Linked DNA regions of Alligator mississippiensis. The protein of the gene in region 1 interacts with the protein of each later gene in a pairwise test. Links are inferred from orthologs where the notes say so. Each region holds a gene or a part of one and is shown in the gene's direction. Other genes may lie near its edges. The genes, in order: PPFIA1, PTPRD, PTPRF and DTNB.

Region 1 (7,037 bases):
TATATTGATGCTTCCCATTCAGAGGGGGGAAGTTCAGTATGCAGCCATGTTGGTGAAGCCAGCTGCTTCACAGTTTAAAATGGAGAAGGGAAAAGCAGTTGCAATACTCCTTGTGGGTTCTTGGGGTGCCTGGGACCTTTTGCCAATTGGGGGGTATTGCAGTGTTTCCTGCATACAGAAAACTGGACAACTTTCAGTCTAACTTAAGTTCAGTTTACATTAGGGAAAACAATAAAACAAGAAAGGACAAAAGTCCAAAGAAGATAACACAATGTCTCGGTCTTCCTTGTAACATGTTGAATCGTTTCAGAATAGGATGTTTCTTTCCACTGTGAATAGGCAGAATTCTTAAAGCGTACAGGTGCGGTGCACAGAAAACAATGTCACATGCTGCTTATACGGCTGCCTATAGATCAATAATTCACTGCTGGCGCCACACCCACTGGTGTAAGCCATAGACAGGGATCAGTTTGAGTATTCTTATCCTTGTGGTTTTTAAACCTTGTCCAGGCAAAAAAGGGACTTGTGAAAGCTTTTCATTATCCAAGTGGAGAATTATCATAATATTTCCAAGCATGGGCAAAACAGAGTAGAAGAAAAATTTGTTGGTTTTAAAAATTTCCTAGTTTTTAAATTGGGATGATTTTGGATTATTTTTTCTTCTCTTCCTGGTAAAACCTGCAGGAGGGAAAATATACAAGCCCAAATAATTCCAGTCTAATCAAATAAGATTTTTTTGAAGCTTAGAGCTATGTACAGTGCATTTTTAAAAGTATATTTTCATAGCCTCCACATAGGAATATATATTTTTTCCATAATATTTTAATTTGAAAACATTTATATTAATTGGGGTTTTAACAATTGGATGCTTACTCTTCAAATAATTCCCTGTAAGTGCAATGGTTTACCTATATAGAGGCAGTTCCAGAACTAGAACTTGGGGGAGAAAATCCACTAATTCATTGTAGTCCCATTTAATTTTATTGGGCTTCTAGATTATTTGCTTGCCATCACTCATAACTAGTCTGCTGTATGCCACATACACAAGCCACAGGTTGGCCACCCCTGTTTTATAACAAGAGTTCTGATCTTCTGGCTATTTCTTCCTAAGTAAAGCTTGTGTTCACACGGAACCCCTCTGGCATCATTGGGCTTCAGTGCAGACCCACTTAAAGGATGGGGGCCAAGGAATAAATCTGAAGCAAATCAGAAGCAAAAGTGACTGTTTTCCAACATTTACGTTAAAACCTGTGCTTTTAATAATGATTATGTATAAAGTTTTACTGAGATCATTTTGACAGCACAGGTATAATTAGCAAAATCAGTTTTCTTTTCTTCTAGGAATAACATGAATTAGTTTCAGCTTGAATATTTACTCTTTTTCTACATTAGAAAACCAGATCTTATTACTTTGGATAATGAAACTTGGTTTGTGGATTAGTCAACACAAAATCTGTGCTGACCAATGTTGCCTGATTTTTGTAAGTTGTAGGAAGTGGCCCAATATGTGGTGCTTTTAGTAAAGCCACAAATTTCAGAATTATGTGATTCCATGAAAATCTTAGCTGTTATTTTTAAAAAGGTTTTAAACTACTTGGTTGCAGAGAAAAGCTTCAAGAAACCTGTGTTCACCTTTATGGCTTGGATACCAAAGGCAGGTATGAAGAACACAATGGGCATGTCTACATGTGCATTAATGTGATTTTCCTAAAGCATATTAAATTTAGTACCTCCAATATGAGGTAATAAATAAATGTACATCAGGTTGTGCTAATGCATGGTAGTGCAAGCACACACATTTTAGGTGATGCTTAATGTGCACTAACCTATTTCAGGGGTTCCCAACCTTTTTATGCTGAGGATCGGCAAACAGTGGACTGGGAAACTGCGGACCAGCAGTGACTTGGCATACTGTGGGCAGGAAACAAACCCTTTTTTATACTCAGTATAAAAACTGGCTGCCAGTCCAGAGTATGCTAGTCACTTCCAGTCCGCAGTTGGCCAGTCTGCAGTTTGCTGGTCCGCAGTCACTTCTGGTCTGCAGCAGTCAACCTTCCTGCAGACCAGCAGCCAACCCTTTGCAGCCCAGTACCAGGCTGTGGCCCGGGGGTTGGGAACTGCTGGCCTATTTTACTGCACATTAGCTTACTAGCATGGTTTTTAAGTGCTGCTTCAATGCGCAGTAGAATAGGCTACAGCACATTAAAGTGCACATGTAGATGCTCTCGTTACATATTTATTTTTAAAGATTTTTTTTTTAAAGCCAGTATCACAATTCTTTGTGGGACAGACTCAGTGTATGCTTAATTTCAGTACCATGCTTAATGTCACTTGTCTCACACAAACCTGTAACAAGCTGTTTCATGCAGTCCCTGTTTCCTTTTGTGCATTCCAACAGCCCTGCCGCTGCCTCTGCTGAATTGAGGCTCTGGGTTTAACAGGACTGAACCAGTCTGAAAATGCTGCCATCAGTAATCAGCACTGCTGAAGGCAAATATTTAAAATAATACCATGTAGTATCAATCAGCCTGTACTTGAGGTTTGAATTAGAAGACTAACACTGTTCCCCACGCTTTACGAAATAAGCTCCCTCCACCAAAGTGAAAGAGCTTTCAGTGTACTATAATACCAGTTGTCTATGGATCTCCTCAGTCCCTATAATAATGACTTCCCTATTTACTGGAAGACTGTCATTCTGGTACTGAGGGACTGGTGCTGCTGAGGAGTCCCTGTACAGACAGCTCTTTGGTGGAGATGCAGTTTATATTGGAGAAAGTTCTTTTGCTGATATGGCTTAAGTGTGTTCCCTGATGGCAATAAGCTATAGCAGGAAAGGACTTTTTGTTAACATGCTGGTATTTACTGACATTGCTTTATCAGATTAGTGGCTTGCTTTTTTAATTTTAAGTAGCTACTCATAGACACTATGCTACTAAAACGTTGTCGTGTAAAGCAGGCCTTAGGGCTGTAAGGCAGTGCATCTGACCACATGAAAGCAGTTTCACTGGCATAAAGGTGCTTTGTGCTGGTAGAGGTATTGCTACCAAGACTGGAATGAGTAACCATTATAACAAGGCAAAGATTTGTTTGTTTTTTTGCGGGGGCGGGGGGGGGGTCATTCCATTGTTCATTGGGTCCAGGGCAGAGTTGGAGTACAGTTAGGCATGCTTTCCCTTTGAGGAGGGAGCAAGTGAACACAGGGAGCAGCGCAGGATCATCTTCATAAGGATATCTGTGTCAAGAACATCACCACAGCACTATTTCGAAAATAGGCGAGGTGTTTTCACAGAAAATGAGGGCTGGAAGGGACTGTAGGACGCCATCAAGTCCAACCCCTGCTCAAAGCTGGACATCTCCCAAGTCAATTAGCCCAGCCAAAGTTTTGTCTAGCCAGGTCTTCAAAACCTCCAAGGATGGAGACTCCACCACCTCTCTGGGGAACCTGTTCCAGTGCTTTCCTACCCTCGTAGTGGGAGAGTTTTCCCTAATATCCAACCTAAACTCCCCTTGCTGCAACTTGGGACCATTGCTCCTTGCTCCATCACCAGCCCCCGCTGAACCCAGCCGGGCTCCAACCTCGTGCCAGTGAACACTCGTGTGATCTCCCCAGCCCTGGGGCTGTCCTGATCTCTCGCTCACCCTCCAGGCTGCTGGTTGCAGCCTGCCTGAGGAGCAGAGGGCGGCGGGCAGCGCTGGAAGAGACCTCCCATGGGCAGTTGCGAGGGGGAGGGGCACAGTAGCGGTGAGACCCTCCTCCCTCCCCTACACCGCGCCCCCGACCGTCGGACGCTACCACTACCTGGGGGGAAGGAGGTAGGACACGACACCAGAGGGTACTACCATTGGCCGCGGGACGGGGGGCGGAGGGCACTACCATTGGCTGCGGAGGGTGGAGGGCACTACCATTGGCCGCGGGACGTGGAGGGCACTACCATTGGCTGCAGGGGGGTGGTAGGATTGTCTCCAGCCACTGCTGGCGTTAAGGCGGTGACACCTAATTGATTGCCAACATTTTTTTTTTTTTTTTTGCTCTGGAAAACAAGAGCGCGCCCCTCAGAGGCGCTGGTTGTGGGCAGAAGCGGAGCGCAGGACAGTCCCCCTCCTCCCTCGCCGGGTGTGTGGCGCGGGCAGCGTCCCACGCACGCGCACAGTAGCGCAGCCCTCCGCGCTCTGGAGCCCAGCGTTCTGGGGCTGCCGCTGGCCCGAGTCTCGGCTCCGTGGGGGAGGGGCCTGGACCCGGCGCGAGCCGCGGGGCGCGCAGTGCATTGTGGTCGCGCAGTGATTGCTGCGGGCGCGGGGCACGCCGGGAGCGGCGGCGGCGGCGGCGGTGAGAGTGCGGGTGAGGGGCCCGCGCCGCGGAGCGCCCCAGGGTAGCAGCAGCCGGAGCCGGGCCCGCGAGGACGAGGCGCGGGCGCCGCCATCCCCGCGCCCGGGGTATAAATGAGTGAGCGACGCGGCAGGAAGGGCAGGATCCCGCGGCTGCGACCCCAGCGCCCAGGAGCTGCGGCTGCTTCCCCCGCCCGGAGCCGCGGGCGAGGGCGGCGCTGAGGCGGCAGCGGACACGTTCCCCCGCCCATGGTCCCGGCGGCGCCGAGGGCTGGCAGCGGGGAGGAGAGGAGCTGAGGCCGGGCTGGTGCCTGGGGGACTCGGGGGCCCTGCTCTGCGCTCCGCCGCCTCTTGCTCCGGCTTGGGGCGCCGGGACGGATATTGCAGGGCGCTGGATGGCAGCTCCGCGCCGCTACAGGGGCTCGCGGCTCCTGCAGCGGCAGTAGGAGAGGAGAAAGCCGCGGGGGAGACCTGGTGCTGCCGAAACCCTGGGCCCACGGTGACGCCGCTTTGTTTCATCGACCAAGGTAAAGCAGCGAGCAGTGGGTGGCTGGCGCCTGCCTCAGATCAGCTTAAAAGCCCCAGTATAAAACAGTGCTGGTGCTTGGGACAGGCCTTCCCGGGGAGCTTCTCATTAATTCAGAAGTGCGGGCTCTGCTTGTCACAAATAAGTTTAACAACTGCCTTAGGAACTCCAATATTAGGAAGTAGGCACCGTACTTTCGTTAGGGATAGTTTAAAAGTTGCACGTGCAGCTTCATAAACCATCGTTTGTTCAGTTCCCGTGAGAAAAGTTGATGGCAGTTGACACTGTGGTACTGTTGGTTATGTATTTCGTTGCTTTTCAAATGCAGGAGGACAGAAACTTCCCTTGGTTCTGAAGTCTGGGTGGCCCAGGATTCAAACCAGGCTGTAAAATGTAGGATCCCTCCAGCATGAGGCCTTATGCTTTTGCCATTACTAAGCATGGTGGGGTGTACAACAACGATACTTCCAAGTTTATATTTTTATCATACTCTCTGCGTGTGTCTCAGTCCCTCTTTTTATATCTGACAGCTGCTGATGTAGCGTGCTGGCTAGCAGTCAAGTCCTGTTTGTTTAGTATTTAAGACCTTGAACAGCCTTTCTTTTCGTTTTCACTTTCTCCGGGTTGACCTCTTGGCTTTCCCTGTGGCTGCATCCGGGTGCAGAAATCCGCTGTTGCTAATTTTCATGCAGTAAAATTGTCCAATAGAGATTTTTGTGGCTTCGGTGGCAGCTGAAAGTAGTGCCTCTTCCCAGGATGGTGGAGTGCAGTATCAAGAGTTTGAAAGAAGTATGATATAGGCTTCAATATGTGTGGTTTGTGGGTTTTTTTGTTGTTGTTTTTGGGTTGAGGCGTGCTTAATACTGTTTAAAGGTCCAAACAACTTTTTAAACAAAGCACATGCATCCTTTATAAATTGGCATCAGAAATAGTGTGGTAGATGTGTAGCTTTTCAACAGAGTTGGCATTGGTAGGAAGTGATACTGTAACAAAACTGCAATAGTAATATTTTTCAAACCTAAGACACTGGTTTATATAGCCTTAAATCCAGTAAACTATAGATGTTTGGCTGTGTGCATAGGGTTAAGCTGTAGCAAGTCGGGATGTCCTATTTGTAGAGGGGGGAAATCCCCCACTCTGTATACATGCCCTTTTCAGAGTGACCAGTTTACTTCTGAATGAATGAGAATTATTTTCTCCCACTTTGAAAAACCTATCTTTTAATATTGTCCAACATACAACCCAGTTGTTTTTCCTGCAGCTGGCACAGGGGAATTTGTTTCAGGTTTGGTCTTAGGCTTTGCTTCTCTCTTCACATACAACATGGTGTCTTATCTAGGTTAGGTTAGCTTCTAGTATTGCTGTCACAGGTGGGATTAAACAGATGGTGTATTACAGATACACACGTATGTGGTGTAGATAAGATTCTTCAATAGTTTTTTTTTTTTTTTTTCATTTTATGTATCTTGTTTCAAGGGCCAAATCAGTTCCAAATTCACTTGGGCAAATCTCAAAAGCCAAGTTTCAAATTTCAACTGAGCAGAGCTCAGTCATTCAAGTCCATGTGGCTCTACCGCTGGGGAAGTATCTTCCTTCTCAGACGCGTCAGTCTGGGGCTTCGGATACTCCCCGAAACTCTGGCAGGCATCCTACATGCAAGCCCAGGGCCCAGAGACCCTGGGGTTCAGATGCCCCCTAGTCTTGTTTGCTCCTAACCAAAAGATCAAGGAGTGAGCCAGGAAAAGCAAGAAAGCAGTCCCACTTTCCTATGCAACTGTGTAGTCGAGTTTCCCACGTTTGGGAAAACTCTCGGGTAAGCCTGCCCAGAATGCAAGGGACAGGCCTCACTCTTGGGGGGGAAAAACATCATTGTATCTCCCTAGGCTTATGAACATTTTTGTTTTTGGATTTGTATTCTGTACTTTATTGCTAATAATTAATGGCCTGAATTTAATTTCTTAATTTCAAGATGATGTGTGAGGTGATGCCAACCATCAGTGAGGCAGAGATTCCCTCTGGGGGAAATGGAGGCCATGGTTCAAGCTCCCCGTTACAATCGGATGCTGATTCCCATTTTGAGCAGTTAATGGTGTCTATGCTGGAAGAGAGGGATCGTCTCCTGGAAACACTAAGAGAAACTCAAGAGACACTAGCTTTGACACAGGGCAAGCTACATGAAGTTGGT
Region 2 (7,471 bases), on another chromosome or scaffold:
GTACCCAGTCCTGGGACCGTGTAATTGTGGACCTACAGTAATAATGGACAAACAGTGTTTCCCAGGTGGCCTGTGTGCATTGCACTGGCCTTCTGCAGAATCCATGGGGAGATTTCATGACCCACCTCTGCAGCTCACTCCAGCAATAGCAATCTCTATTCTTGACCAAATATTCAGGAAGAAGCTTCATAAGGAATGTTCCTGCCACTTGCCATCCATCCCATGGGTGTCACTGTAGAACCCCCATTTGCACAGCCTCATTTAAGTATTCCATAAACTGAGGTTTCTACCATTTCCCTTTGGAGCTCTTAGTTCACAAAATGTATTAGGGCTGAGAAATAAAGTCAGTTTTAAAAAGAAAAGTAAGTGCCAACACATCCCTAAAGGCAGACATAAAATAAGCTGGTATTTTGCATCTTGAAACTGTTATGTTTGCACTTTTCCCAGTCTTCCTTTTTCATTTACATTAACTTCATATCCACTATTTATAAAATGTCCAACCTCAGCCATACTTTTGAAAGGTACAGTGGTCAAAAGAAAATGAAGTAGAATATGTCTAAAAAAGTGCTGATGACAAGTAAGACAGCAAATTTACTACTCTGGTTTATAAAATGCTGGTACCCAAATCACCATTATTATGGTATCTTTGGAGGGGTGGGGAGGGGGGAGTGTCATAGGTACAACATTGCCATTAGGGTGAATTTTGTTTATCTATTTCAAATGACAGGTGATATAATAAGATTTGGCAAGCACTGAAATCTGGAACTTTTTTCTCCCCTGGAAAAGTGATATTTTTTTACTATTTTTTAAATTAATCTTTTCCCCATTTTCTAAATGCCATAATTTTATTTAGCTTTCCATGTGATTTTCAGAAACTGTGTTCCCCAAACAGTTTCATCTACCCCCTCTCCACTGTTCCCTTCTCCCTCTTTTATGATACTTTGTAATGCTGACTTCATCTTAGCCTTTACAAATCGGGTAAATCATTGTGTAATGTTCTTGATGCAGAATAGCGGCTGCATTTCAGTGGCAGGTAATATGATTCCTAAACATAGTACACTGCACAGAACTTTGATATAAGTAAAAGCTGCTGCATATCGTGGTGCTACAATGGTACAAGCTATTCTTCATAAATAAGCTTGGAATGAAATAGAGAGAGAACGCATATTGGGCTGGAAAATAGATCCATATTTGAGAAAAATAGGGAATCAAGAAAAATAGGTCTCTGGTCAAATGAAATTTAAAAAAAAATCATATTTGAGGTAGGTTTTAAGTTACTTAAGGTATAATAATACTTTATGAAACAGTTCTACACTACATTCCTGTATTGTATATTAAACTCAGGACATCTGCAACTTTATTAGAGTAAATGGGAGCATATTTATTTATAATTGAATATAGAACTGGCAAGCGACCTACTCAGGTGAAAGCATCCATATTATGTTGATTTGTTTCACATGATTGCTACTTGCAGGCAATCTGTCTAAGAAAAGATATATGTATAGGTTTTTCTTTTACAGTGCAGAGGAGAAAGAGAGATTTTTCTCTTTGCATTATTTTTTTTAAACCCCGTATCTTCATCATTTAGTATTTTGAGTGATCAAAGTTATGTGGAACTGCTTCCTCTGTTACATTTTGAGGAGAGATCCTGACCTATTGTAATCGGGAGCTGGGACACAGGTGGAGCTCCTAACCTATTCAGGGCCATTTTCTGCTTTGTGAATGCACACTGAATTCAGCAGAACTCTGGCATGTTTGAGGAATGCAGGATCCTGACCTAAATGGTTCATTATGACCCTGCAAAAATATAGATCAGATCATTTCCTAAGTACCTCTGCCTCTAAAGCACCCGGCCTTAGGCAGAGGAGGTGTACGCATTTGAATGCTTTGTCAGCCTACCGAGAATCCCTGTATTTATCATTCCAGCTGGGACAGATTGTCACTGCTTGGAAAACTGTGCAGCGTTTCCTTGTCCAAGGTGAAATGAGTGCATCAGGCAAGCAAGTGGATCACGCCTCCCTGCTGATTGAAAACCAGGTTAGCAAACAGGCTTTGGCTGAGACTCCTCTGTTTTGATTATGAATTTGCAGCGTCTTGGGCCTGCATTGTATTGCTGGTTTGGATTGAACCTGCTGCTGTGTGCTGCCTCAGGAGGTGTTGCTAGCCAGGCATAAGCAGGTGATTGCAACCAAGAACTGAACAGCTAGGGGCTGGGGTGGTAGTGTCTCCAAATGGAAGTGCCTTAGTCCCATGTATAGCAGCTTTGCTTTAGAAGCTCAGTGGCAGGTAGCTGACATGCCAAATAAAGTTGCATTTAATGGAGATTATTATCTTCATTAGCATTATTAGTAGTAGTAGTATTTTTATTATTGTTGTCCATCTTTGTCTTCATTATTATCTGCATTATTATTATTATTATCCTCATTAGTATTATTTTGTACTTAAAGACTTTCTTTTCATACAGCCTTTTAATAAACCATTCTGAGTTGGTGAAAATCATTTGCCCATGGGTGTGTGCGTGCACATGTGCACAGTCCTCCCAACAGGAGGCAAACCGCAGAGACTTCTTGACCTGAAGAACTGATCTGCATTTCCAAATCCTGTTGCAATTTAAATGTTGATATGATCTACTCCAGGAAAGATCTGACTAGCCACTCTTAAAAATGTAGTTATATATATTATCCACCCTTAAAAACATAGTTACATATATATCTATTATATTGTATATTATATATTAAGCCACTCTTAAAAATGTAGTTACATGTGTGTGTGTGTGTGTGTGTGTGTGTGTGTGTGTGTGTGTGTATATATATATACACACACACACATACATACACACACAATACTATAAGTAATAATATAGTGTATATATAATTATACCATACTATTACTTATAGTATGACATAGTATAGTAATATACATATGTAATACAGTATTACATGCATACATATATAAGTAATAGTAAAGGAATGCAGATGTCCTTGCCCTTGCTTCCTTACTCCCCAGGGAGTGGGGAGCCGTGGGGCCCCCTCAGTCTATGGCGTTAGGATTTGCAGCCCCACTCCCTGCTGGAAATGACTTTGAGCCCCCCCCAGCTCCGGAGCTGAGCGTTGCCGCCCCGCCGAGCTGCCACAGGACAAGGCGGAGAAGAGGAGAGCCGGGTTTGGAGTTGATGTACACGCCGGAGCAGCAGGAAAAAGATAGAAGATATCGACACGCTCAGCTGCATCTTGTTAAAAGCTTCCTGCGGGTTGGCAGAATGAAATCTTTATTTAAAACACACAAAGTATCGTCAGGGGAGGGACGGAAGGGAAAACACTGAAAGGGCCAAATGCTTTGCTTAACCCGCCGGTGGAAGCAGTGGGGGTGGGCGAGGGGTGCCAGGCCAGGATCCGCTCAGCCCGGAGAGACGCGCCCCTGGGCCCGGGGGGGCGGGGGCTGTGCTCCCCCGGGGCAGCCTCGTCCCCTGCCGCGCCGCGCACTTGCGCTAAGTGCCGCTCTCCCCGTTTGCTTCTTGCCGGCCCCGTGGCTTCCAAGGGGCATTATCTTAATGCATTATTAATTGTTTTCCCAGGGAGGGAGGAGGTTTATTATTATTAATAGCGGGAAGATCGGCTATTCCTTTGGCCTCAAATGCCGAGCAGGGGGTGGGCAGCGGGTCCCGCTCTGTGTGGCGCGGGGTTGTTGAACGTGCACCACACGCGCGCTCACCCCCGCAGCCACACACACACACACACACACACACACACACCTGCCCGCTGACACTTTCTGTGACACACACATCCCCCTCGCTCGGGCGAGGAGTTGAGTGGGTAGGTGTGTGCGTGCCCCGACCTCCCCCCTCGGCCTGAGCCCGGGCCGTGCGGGGCGCGGGGAGCCAGCAGCTGCAGCCGGCCGCGCGGGTGGGTGGGTAGGTAGGTAGGGCCCGCCGCGACCCGGGCTCAGGCCAGCGCGGGGAGGCAAGTTGCCGCCACAGCGCCCCCGACTCCCCTGCGGGCTGGGGCCGGGGCTGGGCCCCGGGAGGCAGCGCGGCTCGAGCCATCAAGTGGCTCGTTAAGGAAATGCAGGTGAGCGCGGGGCTGGGGCTGGGGCCGCCGCAGCCGCCGCCGGTGGGGATGCGCGTGTGCGTGCATGTGTGTGTGTAGACGCCGCTGCTGCTTCCCCCCACATCATCTCCCTCCTCTCGCCCAGCCCCGAGCCGGAGCCTGCGCGAGTGTTTCACTTGCACCGCGGCGCCGGCTCCGGGCTCCCGCGCTCCGCCCGGCTCCCCGCGCACCTCCGAGCCGAGCCGCTCCTGCTCCTGCCCCCGCCGCGGCCGCTGCAGGTAGCTCCTCCCGGCCCCGCGCCGGGGCTTTGCGCGGGGGAGGATTTATCTTCTTTGATTTTATTTTTGGAAGGGGGGTGGTCCCTGCCGTGGAGCCCGGGCGGGCGGCGGAGGTGGGGCACGCGGCTCCCCGAGGGCACCGCCTGCCGGGGCGGGGGCACGAGACCGGCGGCTGCTCCGGGAAGGACGTGCCCGCGGGGCAAGGAAACTTGCCTCGTGCAACTTCACCCGAGAGGAAGGAGAGGAGCCGGGGGCAGAGACGAAGGGAAGCCCCTTCCCGCGCGGGGCCGTAGCCCCCGGAGCCCAAAGGTGATGCTGCGCCGGGAGACGCGGGTTATTTGCCCCTTTTTGAGGGGAGGCGGGCGGTGGGTGCCTCTGCCCACCCCGATCTCTGGAGCCGAGCTGCCGGCTGCCCTCCCTGCACGGAGGCATGGAGGAGTAGAGGCTGCATGGCGGGGTAGAGCTCATAGGGCAAACTTAAGGCAAGCGGGTGGCTGGCACCAGGGAGGGGGAGAGACGAGCGGAGCCCGGCAGCGCTCGCACGCGGCAGCCCTCCCGGGACAGTGCATCCACGGCCGGCGTTGGCGGCCCCCGAGCCCCGCAGCCGGCGGGCAGGCACGGGGGCACTGGCGCCGGGAGGTAAGGGCAGGGCAGGGCAGGGCAGGGGGGTGAGGAGGCTGGAAGGCACCAGCGAGGGTTTGGTAATCTCTAAATAAAACCTTTGTGTCACGTCAGGAGAAATAAGAGTCGAGTCAGTTTGTTTTGAATGCACTGGAAGGAATCAATAGCATTTCAGCGTGGGTTTTTTTTTTTTTTCCTTTCTTTCTTTCTGTTATTACTGCCAAATGGACTTGGATTTGAATCCCTCTTGCACTCCTCTCTGTCCTGTCAGGGTGGACTGCAATTGGGGGGGGGGGGGTGTGCAGGAGGGTCCTGACACCTTATTTCCCATGTCACATCATGCACTTTCTCTCTTTTTTTTTCTTTTTTTAAATTTTTTTCTTTATTTAAATGGTGCAGCAGCAAAAGTGACTCTGTTGTGGATTATTCCCGTCAGCTCTCTAATCAGGAGGCATTTCAGTCCCATTACTTTTCAAAGTTATAAGACTGCGGCTATGTTTTTCAAATGTGTTTTTTGTCAAGCACCCCAGCCTGAGTCTATGATGCATCTTAATGCCATTTATTTTAGTTTTTTAACTTGGAGCCTGTAGCAGCAATTGGCTGTTTGCAAAAGTGCAAGTTTACTAGTGTGAAATCGGATGGTTTTATTTGTTCAGTAATCAAACGAGAGCATATGGTGACAAGAGGGCCAATAAGACGGATCTGATTTTGGACACAAACGTAATACAGACTGTAATACCAAAGATGTACAGTAGTAGAATAAAATTCACAGTTGCCTATGGCTACCTATAAACTCCACACTAGGAATAATGACAGGGTCTACATAAAAGTTCCCAGGATGGTGAACTAGTGGCAACTTACCTATTGCATCACGGCCCTCTTTATGACACTAATGGAAGCATTATGGCAGGGAAATGTTGTCTAAAGAACTTCTGAACCTTGGGAAGTAACAAAAATAACAGTATATTATATGATGACATAGACGTCCTATTGTTTCATGGCTACGTACTTATTTTTAGCTTGGATGAAGCATTTTCTTTTTTTTTTAATACTAGAAATAGCTAACATTTAGACCCTGCTCACTGTTATGATGAATTTGTGTGGAAAGGATTAAAAGGATGTAGCCAGCTAACATGCATGAAGCATTTTGAGACATCATGGATAAAAGTTTATTAGGTTAGGATCATAGTAGCACAAGGCAATCCCCAGACATGCCACATGTGATGTAGAGTGTTTAATATAGGGTCCTTTTTATTCTTTTGCCAAACTATTAATATTAATATTTACTCCATAAGTATAAGAGACAAACATGCTCTTTGGTTTGGATTCAATGACAACACATGTACAGCTTTATTCATTTGCTGACTAGTCTTTACTTTTCCATTTTTGGGACATTCTATAAATATGTGCAAATATAGAATTTCTTGTGGGGATATTTAACGATCTTTATAAAAAATGACTTGATGTATATATATTTCTTGCGCAGTAACTTATTATTACATGCTATGGGAAATGACCAGAGTTAAAGTCCTTAAAATTAAATCTTGTGCGTATTATGTTAGATCATATATATGATCTTGATCATTATTATTAATACAAGAGAATGTCAAATCAGGACAGTGTAGTTCAAAGGAAACAACAGAGGACTTCAAAAATCTTTATTGCCTTCCTTGAAACAGAGATAGTTACATCTTCAAGTTGATAGAATAAAGTTGCTGGTGTCAGCAGTAATGTGTTTTATTATGCAATTGTTCTTGTTATTCAGATCAGATAATGGCCTGATGAAATATATAAGCAGTCTGCAGGGGATGAATGATTAATTCCTCAAACGTGTGCTTACTGTAGGAATTCTTACTAATAAAGTGCTGTATACCTGCATTTGCTTACAGTTACAGTTGATAAAGTCAAATAGGGTTTGCTGCTTTAATATTATTATATAGTGTAAAAGTATACTAGAAAAGTACGGTACAATTTTGCACAGTAATTTGACTTAATTCAGAAAACTGTTTAAGGACAATTTTGACAGATAATGCATTTTGTTGCATTTGGCTTTATGGAATAAAGTGACAGTGAACAGACAATGTGATGCTTGACTACAAAAAGAGACTAGATCAAGGCTGTATCTCAAAGTGGCTGATGTAGTGAATTAAATAATACTTAGCTACTACTTACAGTCTGCTTTGTATGGCTTGGATTTTTTAAAACCTTTTTATTAGTCATAACTTGGGAATGTGTATTTTTTATTCTACAAGTTCTAAACATTGTAGCAAGTGAGAAAAACTAAGACATCACTGGCTAAAATAGAGAACAGACCATTTAAGCATTTTAGGAGTCACTACTAAAGATGTTTACTAGCACAACCTTCAGTGAGGATGAGAACAGGTCAGTAAATGCAATCCACTAACTTAGAGTAAGCTTTGATTTAGTTCCACCCTGCAAATATTGAGGAGCTGATAGAAAGCAAGAACTTTGCAAATAGTGAAATAAACTTGACAAAATTATAAAATGTACAGATATGTTTATGTA
Region 3 (7,407 bases), on another chromosome or scaffold:
CGTAACTAATATGATTTGTAGAAGGCCAGCTTGCTGGGTTTTGTAAGAGGTTTTTCTTAAATCACCATGGGGGTCAAGCCCTTTTCTGATTTATATTGCTCTTTGAATTTATTTTTGGTGGGTGAAAGGCAATGGATTCACTGTACTGTGGCCTGGTGGCCTCATTTGTCCACAGAACAGCTGCAGCACAGGCAGTGACAAGAAATAATTACTCACCTGTATTTCTGCTTTTCTGAAGAGAGCACCTGACTGCATTCCCACTTTGGGGCGGCAGCTGTCTAGCACGAGGCAGGCCAGCACTCCCATAGCTCTCGGATTTTGGACCTTTGAAGAAGTGCCAGCTCCACCTGCTGCCAATACCAGCTGTCCGTGCTCCAGCGCCCCTCTTTACCACATCCTGTTGCAGCAGGAAGCAGAGCGCTCGTACCCATTAACAGATGCCCACGGGATATTTACATGCCAGGAAGAGACTATCAGGGAAAAATGTTTCCAACCGTACCCCATCCTAGCTTCGTGCCAGGTGAGTGGGAGTTCATAGCTAGGCTTACTATTTATTTTTCTGATTGTGTCTTCAGGCATAAATCAAGATCATAGACCCATTGTGCTTGGTGCTGCCCAAAAACATAGAAAAAGAGAGTCCCTGTTCCACAAAATGTACTAGCTAAACAGATGAGACAGACAAAAGGTGGTGGGGAAAAGGAGGATTTCTTGTGCCTATTTTACAGAGGGAGCCGAGGGGTTGAGAGATTAACCGAGTTGGCTAAGGTCACAAAGAGAGTCTGTGGCTGAGCGAGGTGTCCCAAGTTTCACACTCGTACTGTGATCATCAATTTTCCTTTCTCCAGTCAAGCAATATCTTCAGAGAAGCAGACTCATGGGTGAGTAATTATCCCTTGTCACAGATAACACAGGCTGGACTCCTACTCTTGGAGACTAAAATGCTTCAGGGACCTCTCTCCAAATCCATAGCTCCTCCAGTCACAAAAAAACCTTTGCAAGTTTATTTTTATACGCAGGAGTATTACAGAGACTTCCCATAACACTGTCTACAACAGGAAGTGAGTGTTGGGGGAAATATTAAAAAGATGGTGAGCAGTCAGAGTCAAGATCACATCTTCAAGGTGTGCTGCAAGGGAGATCTACAGATGGAAAATATTTCTTTGCAGTTGCTCACAGTCAAGCATCAGACCAGATATTACCGGACATCATAAGCAGTGGCAGGAAACAGTAGTTTGCAAGAAGACCCTCCTCATGAAAAATCATTTCTGGAAAGGAAGTGCCTCGGATGGATAATGTCCGTTAAACACATAGTGCAATCTCCCAGACTTCAGTAGGTCAGTCCCATAGAAACAACTTAGTGACCTATGTGGTATTAAAAAGCTAGTGACCTGATCCCTTGACATTACAGTATTCCAATATATTAACTGTAAACAAGACTCGTTCACAAATACATATACACCAGCCACTCCTCACCCTCCAGACAAAACAAGACAGGAATAAAGGAGGGCTTTATAGTAATCATTTTTAATAGCATCAAGCAGCTCAGCAGAGATCTGGCCCCAACTATGCCAGGTTTTGTACATCTGCACAGTCAGACGGACTGTCTCAGAAAACTTGCAATCTTAACAGACAGAGCAGACCAAGTGCATGGCAAACAAGGATGCAGAAAGGCAAGTGACCGGGCACTGTACGTAGGAGGCCAAGTGAAGAAAGACCCAAACCGACAGAATCCACCTGAGACTGTCCTATGTCTCTGCATGTGCAGCACCTAGCATGCTGCACCTCCACCCCAGGACAGAAATGTGCCTGAGGACCCTGTGTCCGTCCTGACCCTTCTGCTGACCCTGACGAACTCGGCTGTCGGTCTGCCTTGCATCGAAGGGCGCCCTGCACTGAGATGACATACACCTCAAGGATCTGAAGGGTTGACAAGCTGGCACGTCCTACACCATCGGATAATGATCTAGTCATGGAGCACCAAAGAACAATTCCTGGTTGACCCTACGTTCTTCAAATCCTCCAAGTACCGACCGCTCTGCTTCATGCAGCCAGATGCACCAAAACACCACATCTGGAGGCAGCTGTACTGTATACTGAGGCTTCTTGCTTCAGAAGGCAAAACCTTGCTGGGTTGCTTCCATGGGACAGCTGTGTGCCTGGAACCGATGTATAGGGTCTGTAGCATGACTTAGTAGAGGCTTAGGGCACCAGAAGTTTATGCGCCAGGTACGATGAACCACAGTCACTGAAGGCCAGAATTTTAAGATATTTAAACACCTACAGGTCTCTTCAAATAGCTGGCCCACAGCAAAATTTCAGCGTCTCAACCAGCAAGCTTCCAAAACAGAGGAACATTTGGAAGTGGACTGATGTCATCATCTTTAACTCAGCAGTATTGACACCATCTTCGCTGAGGTCGAGTCCAACACGTGGATCACGTATTACTGTGAATTTCTGGGACGCAGGGAAGTCCTGATAACCTGCCTCCCGCTTTGCAGTTTTGCAGCAGTATGCGGACCGCCAGTTTGGGGAAAAAGATCTCAAACCTCAAGGCCTTTCTGAATCAAAGTCTCTCTCTCCAGGAGGCAGAAATACAAGACTAGGTCAGGTGCTTGTTGCAAGGTAGAGGCCAGACTGAACATGGATCAAATTATTCTCAGCTGGAAATTTGAGACGTTATTCCTTCAAAAACTTGGGGCAACGACTCTGGGATGGAGAAAATGCTACGCCTCCCCTAAAGACTCTTCACCTTCTAATATCACTTTGGTTCAATCCGGAAAAGAACGAGAAAAAGACAGCACCTCTGTGCATCAGACAGATGTACTGGCACCCGAAACTCTGACGGGAAGCTCGATGCCGCAGGAGGCGCTGAGATGTCCAGGCCGTGCACAGGACGCCAGCTCTGCTCACGCCTCGCGCACCAAAGCAGTATCCACACCTGAGGCACGTGAAGCAATAACCCACCGAGCACAAAAATAATTAATGCACTTAATCTACAGCAGCCAAGAAATTCTGCTCATCTCAAAGGCATGCAGATAACTTAGACAACTTCAGCCATGCAGATTAAAGCATCAAAAGAGCTACCAGCGATGCAAGAAACTGCTTCTTGGTCCAGGGACTAGAGGGGAACCAGAACAAAGAGATAAGAGGATACGGAAAGGGCACAGATCTGAAGGCTGGAATAAGCCTTGACAGACACAGGCCCGTAGTCGATCACGGTTGAAATGGGCCTGAAACAGCAGCTGATCTGCTCGTCCGAGAGCGCCTCAAAGGGCCCAACGTACAGCGTGCCGGGCCCTCTGGCCTGCGTGTGGAGAGCGGGGAGACCCAGGGACGGAAGTGGTCCGATCGCTGCCGTACTTTTACAGGACGTACACTTGCTACGGCCACGTGCCTCGAGCTCGGCCCGCGGGAGCTAGTCCTCGCAGCCGGCTCCGCTACGACGGTCAGGTCCAGTCGCGAGATGGACGTTCCCCCGCGACGCGCTCGACGAACCCGCCAACTCGTTTCTCGCGGCCTGCGCGTGGCAGGCTGCCCGCCCTGCGGGATCGCCCCGGGTCACGCGTCCCTCATCCACCCCCGCGAGACGCGGGCCGCCCAGCAGATAAATGACAGGGCATTCGTCGCGTCGAGTCTGATTTACACGGTAGTCGCGTGGGCTTTTAACAGGTAACAGTCACGAGCGTTCTCCTTCCTGACGTCGCACCTGCGCTTCGCGGCGTGCAACCGGTGCAGGCGAGCACGCCCGCACGCGTGCCAGGAGCTGCCCCGGTCCGTCGGCGAACGGCGGCCGCGGTCGCTGCGCCCGGCCGGGTTCGAGCCGCTCCTCGGAGCCACGCCGCCTCCGTGACCGGTGTCCCCACAGCCAGGCCAGCACCCGGCACGCCCCGGCGCTACGTTGCAGCGCCTCCAGGACACGCGTGGGATTGACATGTTTGGTAACACGCGGACAAATCGTGCGGCTCCACGCGGCCAGGCCGACCTCGAGGGGCCGCGAGCCACGGGACAGCGCTCCCCCCGGCCGGCCGGCCCTCGCGCGTGGGGGGGGGATCTTCTCTGTGGGCCCCCGCCGCCCTGCGGACCCGGCCCGCCCCCCCCGGGGTCCCGCGGCAGCGCCCCACGCGGCTGCTTCGGCGGGGACCCGCGGGGCGGGGCAGGGCAGGGCACGACCCGAGTGGGGCCGCGGGGGAGCTCGGCACCGGCATGGCGGGCAGAGGGGCCTGGCCCTGCCCGGCCCGGGCCCGCGCGGGGGAGCGGCGCAGCCGGGAGGGGTCGGGGTGTGAGGGGCGAGGCCGGGGCCGCGGGAGCCGGTGAGGCGGGGCGGGCGGGTGCGGGTGCGCGGGCGCGCGCGGCCCCGGCAGGGGCGGTCCGGCGGGCGGGCGCGCGCAGTGCGCGGCCCCGCGGCGGCGGCAGGAGGAGCGGCGCGGCGCGGCTCGGCTCGGACCGGAGCGGAGCGGAGAGAAGCGAAGCAGACAGAAGCGGCTCGGCTCGGCTCGGCGCCCGGAGCCTGGAGGCAGCATGCGGCCCCCCGCCCGCCCCGCCGCGGTGAGTGAGTGAGTGCCCGCCCGCCCGGCCGGCCGGCCGGGAGCGCTCCGCCGCCGCCGCCTGTTGAGCCGGGGGAGCCCGTGGCCGGGGCGGCAGGTGCCCTCCCGTCCTCGCGGGGCCGTGCGCGGCGTGTGGCGGGCGGGCGGGCCGTGTCGGTGTCGGTGTCGGGGCGGGCGGGGGGCCTCACCTGGGCGCGGCGCGGCGCGGCGCGGCGCGGGAGGCGCCATGGCCGCGGGCCGGGGGCGCCGCTCCCCCCGGCCGGCCCGGCGCAGCCCCCGCGGGTGCGGTGCGGGGCGGTGCGGGGCGATGCGGCGGGCAGTCGGGGCGTCCCCTCCACCTGTTGGCGGCGGGGCCGAGCCCCCGGCGGAGTTTGCAGCGGGCCGCGTGTCGGTGCGGGGCTGGTGGAGCCGGGCGCGGCGGCGGCGGCGCTGGAGGAGCCGAGCCGAGCCGAGCCGCGACCCGAGTTGTGCTGAGCACTTGCTGTTTGGAAATGTCGGGAGGCGGCTCCCGGGAGCAGGACGACGAGAACGCGGCCTCTCCGTAACCTAACCACCTTTGTTCGTTTCTCAAAGTACGCGTTAGCGAGGTGACCAACTTAATCCGGATTACCCGGCGCCTGGCCTGTGGGCGACGCGTCGCTGGGGCAGGCGGGCGAAGGCTGCCGACGCGGGTTTCTAAGTGAAGTGTGCGGCCCTCCCTACGGTCGCGTGGAAAACGCCTGGCTCACGAGAGCGGTTTGACGGTGGGAGGCCGTGTAGTTTAATCCAGGTTTTATTACTTCTGCCGTGGCGCTTGGCTGCGGGTCTGAGACCTCGCCGTGATTTATCCCCGTGCGCTCGGCAAGCTGAACTCGGTACGCCAGAAGTACGCGCTGTGTTACGCCGGCCGGACCCGTCGTGCGAGGTGTGGGAGGGAGGGAGGGAGGTGGTCGGTCGCCTCGCCTCGCCTCGCGCTGCGCTTCTGGTCGGGTGCCTTTCGCTCGCCGACTCGACTGGACTCGACCGGGCTCCGGGGAGCCGTGTTCGGGCATGCAGCCCGAGGCTGGAGTGTGATGCACCATGAACATACATGCAGGGGGTTAAAACCACGTATGTGTGAAGAGTCCGCGCACCACTTATGCTCGGCAGGCTTTTATAATTCAGCTGAGTTACCAATATTGCCATCTGCCCTTCCCTCTACGCGCCTGGCCGTAAATGTGTCTTGGAAAGACGTGGCTCTGAGCAAAGTAGTAGAAACCATGGCTGTGTTGTCTTATTCTCGTGCTTGCTGCGAGTGAAAATGTCAGTTGTTAGGGAATCAAAGGAGAAACCTTCCTGTGCCGGTCTCGTTGTGCGACTGGCTTGAGAGGCGTACAGGTATTTTTAATTTCTTTCTTGCTCATCACACTGCTTTTGGGAAAATGTGAGTAGCTCCTGTGCTGCTGCCAATGACGGTTATCTGAGCTGGTGATTAGAAAGGAGAAGGATCTAAGCTTGTGGGTAACGGAGAAGAAATGTTTTCCTCTTTGAGTCCACATAATGCAGGGCTGTGGGAAGAGATGCTTAATGAGGATGATTATTGCTGTGGCTGTGGCTTTCTATAAATCCACTTGTAATGGAGGCTTTGTACAGTTGCGTCTGAATCTGTACATTTAAAAACTGCAAATAGCGATAATGGAGTTGGCTAATAGCAGACTGTCAAGTAAGTGCAATCCTTGTGATAACGTTCAGCCATAGATCTCAATTTAAGTATTACTTCTACCACAAAACGTTTCTTATAGAAGTCACTGTATAAATAGTCTAAAAAAATGCTGCTGCCTGTTTGTTCCTTATGCTCTTGAATCCTAAGTGAGGAACTTCCTAATTAAGGGTGGGTTCCCCACTCGGATCAGGGGGCTGTAGAGCCCCTCCGACTGGTGCGTAGCTGGTTCAGAAGACCTCGGTTCTGTAGAGACGTTATTTGATGGTTAGAGACTACAGGCAGCTGATAGGAAGAAGCATAGTAACCGGCTTAAACAAAAGCATTATTGTTTATCAAATTGCCAAACCTGGCCTGGCATGCATGAGAACAAAAAAAGTTTAGACTTGTGTCTTATAATAGGATTGTAAACTTACAAACCCATGAAGCTTTCTTTTTTCGCTTTCTTTTTCTTTTGGATCAGCTAAATGCCACCAGGCAGCAGTTTTTATCCGGCCTTGCTAGTACGTTATTAAGGACAAACCTCTGCATTACAATTTCACAGTGGTTTGGTTTTTTTTTTTTAAGTGCCTTTTAGAATCCAGGGCTAAGAGTTAAACTACTTATTTCCATTATGCAACTTAAAAAGGCTGGTTCAAAGATGGTAAGGGAAATGCTGATATGTAGCATGTAGCAGACTAAAATTACTCATCTACTTGGCCTAAAACACGGTCATTACATCCCTCCGCATTCAGTAATTTGTGTGGTAGTTTATACATTACAATATGCTTTACACACAGCTTCAGGAGGTACCGTATAGTTAGCTCATTCTTGACGATCTGGGGACATTTCCCTGCGAGAACTTAGCTGTGATACTGTTCAGTCCATTACTTTATGTACACCTTTAATGTGGTCTGTGGGGACTTCTTAAACACATTGCATTTTGCTCAGATTAGCCAGTTTTGCCTATGGAAGCACATTTCACATCCACAAACTTTTGTGTTCAATTCCAGACTATACACTTACTTTCCAGTAGAAACTTGTAATTTTGTGGGAAGGTAGCTAACTAGGATTTCCTCTCTTGGAAAGAACTGCAGCATTTTTGTGAGAAAAGTGTCAGGAAGCACACACACCGCAAGGCCTAAAACTTAAGGATCAACCGTTACATCAAAATTGAGCTATACACATGCTTTAAATTGCATATTT
Region 4 (7,061 bases), on another chromosome or scaffold:
TCTAGTCAGGGGACTTCTGGAGGGACTGGACGTATTTAAATCAGCTGGTCCTGATGATCTCCACCCCAGAGTGCTGAGGGAACTGGCAGAAGTCATTGCGGGACCCCTGGCATGGCTTTACGAGCACTCGTGGTGCTCTGGGGTGGTGCCAGAGGACTGGAAAAGGGCCAATGTGGTTCCCATTTTCAAAAAAGGGAGGAAGGAGGACCCAGGAAACTATAGGCCCGTTAGTCTTACTTTGATCCTGGGTAAGCTTTTTGATGGAATTATTCTGGAGCATGTCCATGAGGGGCCGGCAGAGGAGGTTATGCTTAGGGGCAACCAACATGGGTTCATTAGAGGCAGGTCCTGTCAGATCAACCTGGTGGCCTTCTACGACCAGGTCACAAAATCCTTAGATGCAGGGGTAGCAGTGGACGTAGTCTTTCTGGACTTCAGGAAGGCCTTCGACACCGTCTCTCACCCCATTCTCATTAAAAAACTAGGGGACTGTGGCGTCGACACCTACACAGTCAATAGGGTCGCTAACTGGCTGGAGGGTCGCACCCAGAGAGTGGTGGTGGACGGGTCGTTTTCGACCCGGAGGGATGTGGGCAGTGGGGTCCCCCAGGGATCAGTCCTCAGACCCGCGCTGTTCAACATCTTCATCAGCGACTTGGATGAGGGGGTAAAAAGCACCCTGTTCAAATTTGCTGACGACATTAAGATGTGGGGGGATGTGGGCATGCTAGAAGGGAGGAATAGGCTGCAATCAGACCTAGACAGGTTACAGGGGTGAGCAGATGAGAACAGGATGGGTTTCAACACTGACAAGTGCAAAGTGCTGCACCTGGGGAGGAAGACCCAGCAGCAGACCTACAGGCTGGGGAGCTCCCTTCTCGTCAGTGCAGAGGCAGAAAAGGGCCTTGAAGTCATTATTGATGCCAAAATGAACATGGGCCGACAGTGTTGGACGCGGTCAGGAAGGCCAACCACACCTTGTGCACCCACAGATGCATCACGAGCAGGTCCAAGGAGGTGATCCTCCCCCTCTATGCAGCACTGGTCAGGCCGCAGTTGGAGTACTGCGTCCAGTTCTGGGCACCGCACTGCAGGAGGGATGTGGACAGCATGGAGAGGGTCCAGAGGAGGGCCACCTGCATGGTCAGGGGGCAGCAGGGCAGGCACTACAAGGAGAGGCTACGGGACCTGAACCTCTTCAGCCTCCACAAGAGAAGGCTGAGGGGGGGATCTAGGGGCCTGTTACAAACTTGTCAGGGGGACCAGCAGGCATTGGGGGAGTCCCTGTTTCCCCGAGCACTACCAGGAGTGACTAGAAATAACGGTCACAAGCTGGCAGAGGGCAGATTCAGACTAGACATCAGGAGGCGCTACTTCACAGTCAGGGCAGCTAGGATCCGGAACCAACTTCCTAGCAAAGTGGTGCTGGCTCCTACCCTGGGGGTCTTTAAGAGGGGGTTAGACGAACACCTTGCTGGGGTCGTTTGACCCCAGTACTTTTTCCTGCCATGGCAGGGGGTCAGACTTGATGATCTGCTCAGGTCCCTTCTGACCCAACCAACTATGAAACTATGAAGTTGCCACTGTGATGTGACGTGATGGACTAAAACCTCTCAAGACCAAGAAATACCAAGTTAAGGCAATGCAAATTTAGATTTCAGAAAACCAGAAAAGAAAACACCTGTACAATGCGAACTTTCCTCTGCCTGCTGGAGCTAACAATAATCATTGGGAATGATTCAGTAAGGAGCTGACATCAAAAGCTGGAAGGAGCTGATTGCCAACTGACCCCAATGACACCTTAACCTCAACCAAGTGGCAGCCCACTTTGAGGTAAAGTTTTTTGCTCTCAAAGCAGAGAGTGCAGAGAAAGGAAAAGGAGAGAAATCCTTGCCTGCAGCCTACTCTCCCCTGTGGAAAGACCTGCAACTTCTGTGGATGGATTTGTGGCTCAAGCACTGGACTCTTATGTCACCTCAAACCCGTCAATGAGCCATGGTAGAGATCATCACTGAATCGAGGAATTGCTGCTGATGACAACCACACGTGATTCTGACCACTCCAGCACCCATGTGCTGCTCTGTGACCACCCAACCAGACCTTTCTCCTCCATGATCCATTTTCCTGTTAAACTTGAAGGAGCCATGAGAAAGTGATGGTGCTATTTTAGGACACGTACCAGCTGGGGCTGGATCTGTAAAATTCCTATGCCAAATCTTGCCTTAGCACATAAAGGAATTCTACGTTTACATCTGCAGCATCAGAGGCTCAAACCAGCATGAAGTGGCCCAGTTACTCCAGGGATTTGTTCTCTCCTGAATAACGCCCCTTTGGAAATGGAAACAGAATGAAGAAGTTGCTTAGGGACGCAGGAATTGAATCATTCGTTTCAATGGGAGTTCTTGTGCTGCCTTTCATTCTGTGTTTGGGCCCTGTATCAGATTTCCCCTTTTTCAGTTCCCAGCTGTGATCTAAGCATTGTGTACCATCAGGCAATTGACATGCCCGTTTGCAGCCCCTCGCTCCATCTCAGCACCGAGTGCCTGCCACGTTCCCATTCCCATTCCTCACTGGTCTCGGCACTTCAGCTTTTGGAAGGGGGACTGAAATGCAACATACAGGTGTGGGGGCAGAAATGAAGTCCTCACACCTCGCTCTGCCCCTCTTCATATCCTTTTGAACACTTGTGTACTGGTCTGACTTATCAGTCCTCCTGCCACATCTGACGAGATTAATTCCTTCCCTCACTTGGCCCCGTTGTTCAAGAAGAGTGTGAAAAATACAAATACTTACCTGAGGCTTTTATCCTCATCTATTTAATGCTTATGTCTTCAACGCTACTTCTAGAGTGAAACTGGAGCCTGCAAATGGGTTTGAAAGTGCTTACAAATACCCGTCGGACCATCAGTTTTAGCCTTGAGGCAAAACTTGCAAAACGTAGCTGGGGAAACTGCGGGCAGAGGCTATCGAACAGGTGTGTAACGTGCTCCGAAAGCTGCCGCGGGCAGGGCTCAAACTCAAACACGCATCCGTAGAACGCTAATGCACGTAGTCCTCACGGCGCCACAGTTATTTTTCATACCGAGGTCATAAACCTGTGCAGAAATAACAATAATTCATCTTAAAATGTCACGAAGATCCGATTTCGTGGATTATTTTTATTGTGCGGGGCCTCTTCAGAGGGATGTCGCTTAGGGCCTCCGCACGTCATCGCGATCCGGACTCCCGGTTGCCCGTCAAGCCTCGTTTTAGGCAGCAAGCGCGTCTTCTTTCGTCCTGCGCAAGGGGCGACATTGACCCCCGGGCTTGGCGCCCCGCCAGCCTGCGCCGGGCCCAGTTCGGAGCTGTCCGCAGGCAGGCCGAGGCCTAGAGCGCGCTTTGCCCTCAGACGGGTCCTGGCGCGACCCCGGGAGGCAGGTGGGAGAGGCTCGGTGAAGCACGACGTGGCCCCCACGGCCTGGAAGCTGAGGGGAAACCTCCATTTCAGCACTTGCCAAATCTCACAGTTTTTGGCGTTGTTCTTAAATTCTGCACTTTGCGGATGTGACTGACTGAGGTCTTTTACATACATGTATATCCCTCTATGTATGTATGTATGTATGTATCTCTCTATACGTGTACATCTATAGGTATCCACGTCTCTCACAGCCCACAAACACTCAAGGCCTGTCCCCTCAGAGCCACGCCCCCCTACTGCGCCTGCGCGCTGCGGAGGAGGCGAGGGGGCCGCAGGCGACTGTTGGGGGCGAGGGGCGGCCGCCGATGATTGGCTGGGGGCGAGGGGCGCATGGAGGTGCTCGCTGATTGGCCGGGGGCTCGCGGGAACGCACGCGACGCACGGAGCGCGTCGCCGATTGGCCGGAGGAGCGTCACGGGGCGGGAGGGAGGAGGAGGAGGAGCAGGAGGGGGAGGGGTTGGGCCAGCGCTGCCGGCGGATTGGCTAGAGCGGGCAGAGGGGGCGGGGAGGGGCAGGCAGCCGCCGCCCCGGATTGGTCGGTGCGCGCGCGCCCCTGCGGAGGCGTGCCGCGATTGGCTGGAGCCCGCGAGGCGGCCGGGGACCGTTGGAGCGCAGCGCAGCGCAGCGGAGCGGCTGAGGCGGTTTCCGCAGAGGACGGGGACGGCGCGGCCGCCTGCTCCGCTGCCCCCGGGCCGCCGGCCGGGGAACGTGAGTGCGGATGTGGGGCGGGGCGGGGCGGGGCGGTGCGGGCTCGGGGCGTCCCCTTGCGCCAGGGGGGGTGGGGGCTGCGGCCTGGGCCCCCCCCCCAAACCCGTCCTGCCCCTCCCCTCCCCCCGCCCCGTCCAGCTGCCCTCTCGTCGTGCAACACCATGGCGGGACGGGAAGGGACGGGACCTGCCGGGGCCGCCTTGAAGCGTCTGCCCGCGCGCCAAGGGCAGGGCGCGTTGGAAGAGAGCATCTCCCTGCGCCCTCGGCGGCGAGGCCAGGGGCTCCCCACCTGTATTTCGCGGTTTGGGTGTCATACAAACCTCCGAGCCGCCCCTGAGGCCTTCCCGCGCGCCCCCCCCCCCGCTTCTCGGGAGAGGGTGGAGCGGGGCGCGGCGGGGAGCAGCCTCTTCGGGGGGTGGGGGGGTGAAACTTTCCGAGGAGGAGCGCGGTCAGGCAGGAGAGCGGGCGGCTAGAGGTGCGGGGGGGCGGGGGCTGGTAGCAGCGCACGGCCGCGCTGGGGCCACGTTGAGGGCTCGGCGAGTGGGCACGCGAGGGGAGAACCGGGGGTAACGGCCACTAGCTCCTGGACCATCGATTCGGGCTCAACGTCAGGGAACACTTCTGCACGTTTGGGGTGTCCAGATGTGGAGACTGGACGGTCCCGTCGCCGGGGTTGCCTGACCCCACGTGTCTTCCCTGCCGGGTTCAGGGGGCTGGACCCGACGATCCTCCGAGGTCGCGTCCGCCCTGACAAGCTGTGCGCCTCCGTCCTTGGAAGCTTTGAGGAGCAGGCTGGACGGACACGCGGCTGGGATGATCCTGCCTTGAGCAGGGAGCTGGACTGGATGCGACCCCGGGAGGTCCCCTCCGGCCCGACGTGCTATGGTTCACCTTAGCCGTGACCGGGTCCCGTGGCGAGAAGCAGACGTAACGTTCGTGAGACTTCTAGAGCAGCGGTTCCCAATCTGCGGCACGCGAACGCAGACAGCCCGCCGGTGGTACCTGTTCACAGACTGATTATAATGACTTTATATGACAAAAACGTGCCGGGGGGTACTTAAGCTTGAACTGAAAAGTTTGCTGGCGGTACTTCAGGTCGTATCGTGCGCAGCCTGTCGGTTTGGGAACCGCTGTTCCAGAGTGAAAAGTGAGCTGGGAAAATGGCGGACCTTGTTTATAGAGGACAAAACATTTCTTTTTCCTTTTTTAGGTTGCCTTTAAAAGTACAAAGAGGAAATTGTGTATAGAAAAGTGAAAGTTGTCCCTAGAAAGCTTCCTGTGTGATCCAGGTAATGCTGACTGTTGTAACCAGCCTGTGATATCAAACATATATGCGCATAGGTGCAGATACATTAACGAAATTATTGAGTTAGTGTCTCATAATGTATATTTAACAATTCGTCCAGGGCAAATGCTTAGTACAGAGCAGTGACTTGTACATCTAGACCTGTGAAAAATTCTTTGTAGAATGTCAAAAGTGCCTGCAGCCACATCCATGGTAGGGAAGGTTAGGCCTGATGAATATTGATATAGGAGACCTGCAAAGAAAACTTTGATGGTCTGGACAGTGTTGATTCAGTAGGTGGCACTCTTCCCTTTGGAACTGAACCATTATCCCAACATTGCACCCTTTTGGGTAGGACTGTGCTGCTGAAAGTACCGTTTTCAAGTGTTTAAAGCTAAATCTCGGCATTACCAATTGACTACATTTCAGCTTGGACTACCTCCCTCCAAAATATCCTTAGTAGTTTCAGATGGAGAAGCTTTTCTTCATGTCTTATGTTCTCAATTTTTCTGCAAAGTGTGACTGCTGATACTGGCTACCGTGATCTATAACAGGCCTGTCTAACTGGTGCTCTGTCTCTTAGTGGCTGGCCTCCCCCCGCCATTGCTCTCCTGTGCTGGTCTCTCCCTCCCTCTTCCAGCTTCCATTTCCTGCCCACAGCTTTGAAGGTGGGGCATCATGGGGTGGCCCTCGTTGCATGTTCGGTTGGCTCCTAGCTACTTAGAAGCACACCTGATCTCCAGCGGTGGGGACAAATATCTTTGTCAGGCGTGCCACAAAGTAAGCCCTGCATCCACCCTGAGTGTCACCCTTATCTGTTACCCCTGACTGATCTGTTGCTCTGCTTTCTCCCATTGCCCTGTGCTCCCTGCTTGACCTGTTCCTTTGCTTTCTATTCTCTGTCCTATCTGCTGTTGTGTTCCTTGGTTTCCTCCCTGATCTGTGCACTACACAGGAAGGCTTCCCATGCCATTTGTGGCATGCGCGCTGCAGGCTGGGACACCTGGACTTGGATGCAATTTTAATTATAGGCCAGTAATGCAAAACATGTATACATATATATTTCCAGACAAATCTTTGTAAATAGGGAGTTGAAATTCAGAGTTCATAATACTGAGTTGAGGGAGAGTAAAACAAAAAGGACATGGATGTTTCAAGTATCCCCCCAAAAATGTTACAAACCCATTTGAAAAATTCAGACTAGTATTATCAGGTAAGAGATGTAGAAAACTTTTGTTGTCATGTAATGACATCAGGCAAAAAAACCCCATACAATTAGGATCTTATTTTAGTTTTTTGTGATCCCAAATCATATTAGTCCAAACTGTAATAATTTTTTTAAAACATTTTTTATGTGGTTCTGTCCTTACTGTGTTACAGAGTTTGTTGTTTGGGAGTCTGACTGATGTATTTATATACCTTAATATTTCTTTTTAATTAAACTTTGAATGTCCTGGGTATGTAAAGCTTATTTTTGTTGGTTGTTTTTGGGGTTTTTTGTTGTTGTTGTTAGGGGTTTTTTTTAAGGATAGCTGTATAATGTTACGGACCATCTTGAACATAGAAAAGTTAGGAATTGTGTGGAAAAGTTGAATACTATCATATGAATAA

What was found.
Region 2: the proteins of PPFIA1 (region 1) and PTPRD interact in a two-hybrid assay, tested with the Homo sapiens proteins (2 studies listed by BioGRID). The link is inferred for Alligator mississippiensis from reciprocal best matches to the Homo sapiens genes PPFIA1 and PTPRD.
Region 3: the proteins of PPFIA1 (region 1) and PTPRF interact in a two-hybrid assay, tested with the Homo sapiens proteins (2 studies listed by BioGRID). The link is inferred for Alligator mississippiensis from reciprocal best matches to the Homo sapiens genes PPFIA1 and PTPRF.
Region 4: the proteins of PPFIA1 (region 1) and DTNB interact in binary tests that used the Homo sapiens proteins (3 or more experiments, as listed by UniProt). The link is inferred for Alligator mississippiensis from reciprocal best matches to the Homo sapiens genes PPFIA1 and DTNB.

Annotation. Positions count from the first base shown.
Region 1 is NC_081825.1:215,795,324-215,802,360, forward strand, and holds the start of PPFIA1 (liprin-alpha-1), read left to right. Parts: upstream 1-4,017; 5' UTR 4,018-4,853; intron 4,854-6,821; coding exon 6,822-7,037. UniProt on the Homo sapiens protein: May regulate the disassembly of focal adhesions. May localize receptor-like tyrosine phosphatases type 2A at specific sites on the plasma membrane, possibly regulating their interaction with the extracellular environment and their association with substrates.
Region 2 is NC_081826.1:185,283,848-185,291,318, forward strand, and holds the start of PTPRD (receptor-type tyrosine-protein phosphatase delta), read left to right. Parts: upstream 1-4,457; 5' UTR 4,458-4,633; intron 4,634-7,471.
Region 3 is NC_081828.1:625,411-632,817, forward strand, and holds the start of PTPRF (receptor-type tyrosine-protein phosphatase F), read left to right. Parts: upstream 1-4,389; 5' UTR 4,390-4,545; intron 4,546-7,407. UniProt on the Homo sapiens protein: Possible cell adhesion receptor. It possesses an intrinsic protein tyrosine phosphatase activity (PTPase) and dephosphorylates EPHA2 regulating its activity.
Region 4 is NC_081824.1:1,020,939-1,027,999, reverse strand, and holds the start of DTNB (dystrobrevin beta), read left to right. Parts: upstream 1-4,051; 5' UTR 4,052-4,165; intron 4,166-5,375; 5' UTR 5,376-5,454; intron 5,455-7,061.